Kluyveromyces lactis: one gene and its partner. The protein of the gene in region 2 interacts with the protein of the main gene of each other region in a pairwise test. Links are inferred from orthologs where the notes say so. Each region holds a gene or a part of one and is shown on either strand. Other genes may lie near its edges. The genes, in order: YKT6 and VAM3.

Region 1 (2,884 bases), on a different chromosome or scaffold from region 2:
ATTCACTACGCAGTTGCCAGCCGAACAGTTGGAGATCTAAGGTCAGATGGGTCAACAAACCTGCAATAGCGTAGGGAGTCGTAGCAGACGGTAGATAGAACAGTGAAGTGTTCCATAGCTTGACATAGAACACGGAAAACGGTAAAAAGGACGTCTCGAGAGGTTTGCGCATGCATAACGGCATTTTGAACTGAAAAAAAAATTGTAGCGTGGGGAGAAAGCAGACAGGGTGGGTCGGAGAACAGGAAACAGGGCCCGAACTATACCATCGATACGCTAACGATGAGCTTGAGAAAAGCGAGATTCGGAGTGACTTTTGGAGCTGCTGTTTACCTCCTGTATATTATGTGTTTGGGGGGGATAACGCTGTGAGTAAGTACTCCGAATTTAACAGGCAGATAACGTAATATCAGGTGAGCAGGCAATGGTCGGTCTTGGACCTTATGGTATCTTGGACAAAAGACAGCGTCCAGCAAGTAGACTCCGTGGCCAAGCTGGTTAAGGCGTGCGACTGTTAATCGCAAGATCGAGAGTTCAATCCTCTCCGGGGTCGTTTTTTTTGGAGAAAATTTCTTTCAAAATTGATCCGCTGCCCGTACTCAGCCAGATGATGATAGATAAATCAGACCCTAGTGGACAGGAAGGAACGAAAGGCTGATCAAAGGTGGCGGTCAAAACGCCGGTGAAACCTTACTATTACTTTATTTTGATTACTATTATGCTTAATACTCGTAGCAAGGGCTATATATGATCAGGCTGGCCATGTTTTGGCCTCTATTTCAAATCCGTCTACATAACTATACAGCACGAATTGGTTTTCTTTGCTTGCTTATAGAACATCCTCGATGCAGCAGATAGTGATTCGGACTTGTCTACCAAATTGTCCAATTTCTCACCTCTTTGTAATACGTTTTCAATGGTTTTGTGTAGCGTGATCTTGGTCTCGTCTAATTCTTGCTGTACACGCATTATTGCATCAGCTTGAGATGGGTCCTGATACTTGGCAATATAGATATCCAACTCCTTCAACTTGAGCGAATCGTCACTCTCCGTCACGTCCTTCCACTGGATAGGAGGGTGCGCTACCAAATACTCATCCAATACTTTGTTCAACAACGTATAAGCTGGTCTTACTGGGTACTCCTTATCCGTAATCAAAACACCACAAATTCCTTCAGGCCTTGCGTAAACGTGACCTACATAGTTACCTTCTTCAACACTCTGTCTTTGACCAGCACTTGTCCTGCCAGCAACAGTCTCACTGAAAAAGGACATGAACTGTGCAACACTGTTCCTTTCAAAGAACCCAAATTGTGATAAGTCCTTCACAGAACTTAATTCAAGGGTCTTATCATCGCTGTTTCTTAAAACTCCAATGTAATATATCTTCATCCTTGTATCCTGTATCCTGTTTTCTCCCACTTGTCAAATGAGAAAAAAAGCTACTATTTTGCCCAAACTTAACTATTCTTAGATCCCCTATACGTGTACTATAACACTGTCCTTCTCGTCTCCGTGTTATCTTCAAAATACATCATCATTTCCCATCCTCATATCACAATGCTTCAATATCCATTTTGTTTGATATTCGAATTTTTCTTTTTTTTGCTAACAAAGGCATTTTCAATTTGTCAAAGGAACATTTAAAAGAGAAGCTGATTGATACCCACAACGGGAGGAAAGAAATTTGCTTTTAGTTAGGTTTGGTATTTTTACAGTACACTTAGAAAACGTTTGAAAGTTGCTGACGAGTCAATTGATTATAGGCATATACATATTTTTTTGAAGACAATGTTCCGTGTTTCTTTACAAGCTACTAGACGTGTTGCTTTTAGATCCGCTAGACAAATTAGGTTTTACAGTGCTCATCCACCTTCCGGTGGAGTGAGCCATATGAACAAGCCAGCATTGTTGTTGGCTGGGTTCAGTACTCTTGGTGCCATCTACGTTGCTGATGGGTGTCCTACTTTGATTGAGAGGAAGCCTGCTCCTGCTGAGAAGCCTGCTGAAGAGACTCCTGCAGCGGGCCAATCACAATCTATTTCTGAACCTACGAAGGATGCCGATGAATCTCCGGTGTCTGCTCAGGAGGAAGGTGCTGAGCCAGTTACTACTCCTGAGAACGAGATTACTTATAGCGAGGAGACACACCAGGCCTTAGCAGCCACCTTATCAGGAGATGAGCCAGCTGCCATTGAGCCAGTTGCTGAATCCGTCAATGAACAAGCTACCGAACCAGCTGCCAGTGGAGAAGCCACCAATGAACCTGTTACTGGCATTTCCGAGGATACCAAAGCTCCCTCTTTGAGCTTCGATGACTCAAAAACTGCCAAGGGTGTTGTTTTAGAAGATGAAGCTGACAAAAAGGAGATTCAACAAACAAGCCCAGATGCCGTAAAAACCGCCTCAAAAGACGGTTCAGAAGGTGAATCGGATGTTGTTTTGCATGAAAAATCTCCTGCTGAAGCTGAGACCATAACAGAAGCAGAAGAGCAAGCTGAAATTCGGTCTATCTCCGGTGGCACTGCTGAACAGTCCGCTACTGCGGCTGCTGCGGCTGCAGGTGTTCAAGGTGAAAAAAAAAACGAACAACAAACTGCATACAACCCAGAAACTGGTGAAATCAACTGGGATTGTCCTTGTTTAGGTGGTATGGCATACGGTCCTTGCGGTGAAGAGTTTAAGTCCGCTTTTTCATGTTTTGTCTACTCTGAAGCTGATCCAAAGGGTATCAACTGTGTTGAGAAGTTCTCCACTATGCAAAATTGTTTCAGAAAATACCCAGACTATTATGCTGAACAAATCAAGGATGAAGAAGAAGCTTCTGCAGAAGCTTCAAAAATCGAGGATAAGAGCACTACCCCGGTTTCAACTGCCACCTCTA
Region 2 (2,991 bases):
AAGGAAGAGGTGAGACAATCGGAAGAACTTCTCAATGACAAGGAAAATGCTGCTAAGAGTCTCGATGAGAAGATAAACGAAAAAAAGCATAATACTGATTCTGATAAAAACAATTCCTCCAGTGATGGTGTAGAATCGTCGTCCACTTCCTCAACCCTTTCTTCAAGACCCAAACTGCCGAACTTGGATCAAACTAAAAAACTTAAAGAGAAAGAAATGGAAACTTGGGTCCAAGATCTTTCACAGTTAGCTTGTGACTTGAAGCAAAGAATCAATACCCTTGAAATGGAAAACAGACTTCTCAAAAATCTTGTCATTGAACGTGGAGATCTCAAGAATGTTGAGTCTTATGAACTATCCAAAAATAACTCCTCCGAAAGCACTAAAAAGGATACTGACAAGTAAGCTATGATTAATAATTAGTTGTAACCTCTAAGTCGGACATATTTACCTGATGATGCGTGTTCTCTAAAACGTAACGTAACTTTCATCCAAGTATAAGGCCAGAGATAAATTTTGTATTAATATATAGTTACATTCCTCGTAGAATCTAACCCTATGATAGAATCGCGATAAGAGTTATTAGAGTGATAACAACAATAGCTACTAGAAGTATTGTACCACATCTGTTCTTTTTCCTTTGATATTCATTTGCTTTGTGAAGTTCTTTGTTCGCCTTTTGCAAATTATTAGATAATCCTGTCACATTTTCGCCAATTGTGTCAACTTGTTCGCCCTGTTCCTGTACCAGACTTCCTAGTTGTTTGAAGATGGCATTGACCTCTTGCACAGCAGAGTGGATTTTTGATATGTCCTGGGATCTTTCATGTTGAATTATCGTGTGAAAATCTAACTCATCCTGATTCAACAAAGGCTCTTGCTGTTGGGTAGACAAAAGTAACGGAGTATCCTCTGAAGAATGATCCCTCCTCTCGATATCGTCTTGTATTGGCATGCTTTCATATTGCGATACGAGATGTTCCGATTCATTATCTTTACTCTCTTCGTCAGGTATGGGATTCTGTACTGCCCTATTCTCATAATCGGTCTTTACACTGTTATATTGTTTGCTTAACGCTTGAAAATCTCGAGCAAATTTATCTTGTGTATCTAGCGAAGTTAAGTCAGCCAGTTTTCGACTAATTTTCTGGATTTCGGGGATTACTCTATTTTTTATATCAACCCTCAATAGTTGTCCGTCCTTGCTTGTCCCTATTAGATGAGCTTTACGCTTGAGTAATTGAATATTCTGTTCTAGTGTTATCAACAAAGGCACCGCATCGTTTCCACTAGAATCTGCACGATTGTCCTCCTTTTTTGGAGTACTATTTTGATAAAAGGACATCAGATGTAACGCGATTATCTTTACGGGTCCTGCTATCAGCTGTTTCCTTAACAGTTATCCTTCCCTTCAGTTAATGATCACAAACCTCAATTTGAGCACTTTAAAATTGAGGACAGTCTTAAACCACAGGTCATGTGATCCATTTTTCTTTCCAAGCCAACGCCAATTGGTTCAACTAATGGAAATTCGTATCATAATATTGAGGAGCGCACACTCTCTAACACTTCAGCGGCTTCACCGTTTAACCACTCAAGTGTTGTCGGTATTCTACTGTCACTCAATCTTTCGCTCGCTTTTCTTCTCATGCACTCTCGCTTTGTCTCAGCGTTGGTGCCATTAAGTTCATAGATTTCGAACGCGTGCTTTGCAGATAGATACAACTTTAAAAAAAAAAAGAACGCGTAAAAGTAAGAACATCTTCATCATCTTCTTCTTGCAACTCAAACCAGGAAAGACAACAAAACTAAATTACTAGGGTAGTTCGTACTGCCACCCTACACTATTAAAACACTAGCTCGGGATGAGTAATGCGAACAAACTTGAACTGCTCAAAAAATTGCAGAAAGCTAGGAATAATAAATCGAATAGGGATGTGCTAGATGAACAACTGGAAGAAGAAAATGTGTATGACTTGATTGACGAGGATCAATATAGGAGTAAGAAAAGACAAGAGTTGTTAAGAGATGATTTTGTTGAAGATGATGATGGCAGTGGATATGTGGATCGTGGTGTAGATGAATGGGATCAAAGTCAGGAGTTCTACTCTGATGAAGACGATGGTGTTGATGCAAAGTCAGGCAAAAAGCGTAATAAGACCAGTAAGAATAACAAAGGTAAGGATACCATCAGCGATATCATAAAGCAACAAAATGTCAAGAGAAAAATGACAATGCCAACAGAAAAACCTAAGAAAGTGTCACTTGCTGAATTTGATGATATTTTGAGTGAATTTGACGCAGAGCCTCTGGTTAAGAAGCCGAAGCTAACGATATCCAGAAAACAACCTGCAAATACTACGCCTATGAACTATAAACACCCTCAGGTAGATACATCCCCACTTAAAGGTAAAGATGTTGTACCTTTTAAAGCTGATAGCGTTAATCCTATCGATTGTGATTCAATGGAAGAGGACCACGATATTGAATCATTATTAAACGATGTGGCTAGTTCTCCTTCAATGAGCAAGCAGAAGACATATCAAAGCGAAGATGACAGTGAAGATGACGAAGATGATATTCACTTTGGTAGAAAAAAATTCAAATCAATAGCTACTCAAAGGCAGATGAATATCAGCGCTCAAACAGCACCATTAACGTCTTCGCCAACATATGTCACTGCTCCTAACACCCCATTGTCAACTTCTACAGGGTCCACACAAGCAACAGAATCAATTTCCGGATCACTGAGACAAAGAATACCTAAAGAGGATGTAGTAGACGCTGAGACCGGTAGTTTTAACTTTTTTTGGACTGATTTTACCGAAGTCAACTCTTCTTTGATTCTCTTTGGTAAAGTTAAAACGAGAAAGAATCAAGTAGTCTCTGCAATGGCGCAAATCAATGGTTTCAATAGAGAGCTGTATTTTCTACCTAAGGAGGGTAAAACAGCGTCTGATGTCCACCAAGAAATTGTACCTCTATTATTGG

Evidence for each region.
Region 1: the proteins of VAM3 (region 2) and YKT6 interact in a two-hybrid assay, tested with the Saccharomyces cerevisiae proteins (2 studies listed by BioGRID). The link is inferred for Kluyveromyces lactis from reciprocal best matches to the Saccharomyces cerevisiae genes VAM3 and YKT6.

Annotation. Positions count from the first base shown.
Region 1 is NC_006040.1:227,775-230,658, forward strand, and holds YKT6 (palmitoyltransferase YKT6), read right to left. Parts: upstream 1,393-2,884; coding exon 790-1,392; downstream 1-789. Other genes in the region: MIA40 (Mia40p), read left to right, coding at 1,792-2,884.
Region 2 is NC_006039.1:1,128,464-1,131,454, forward strand, and holds VAM3 (SNAP receptor VAM3), read right to left. Parts: upstream 1,346-2,991; coding exon 557-1,345; downstream 1-556. Other genes in the region: MET4 (Met4p), read left to right, coding at 1-405; DNA-directed DNA polymerase alpha catalytic subunit POL1, read left to right, coding at 1,866-2,991. UniProt on the Saccharomyces cerevisiae protein: Required for vacuolar assembly. Provides the t-SNARE function in a late step of the vacuolar assembly. Required for homotypic vacuole membrane fusion, autophagy and fusion of biosynthetic transport vesicles with the vacuole.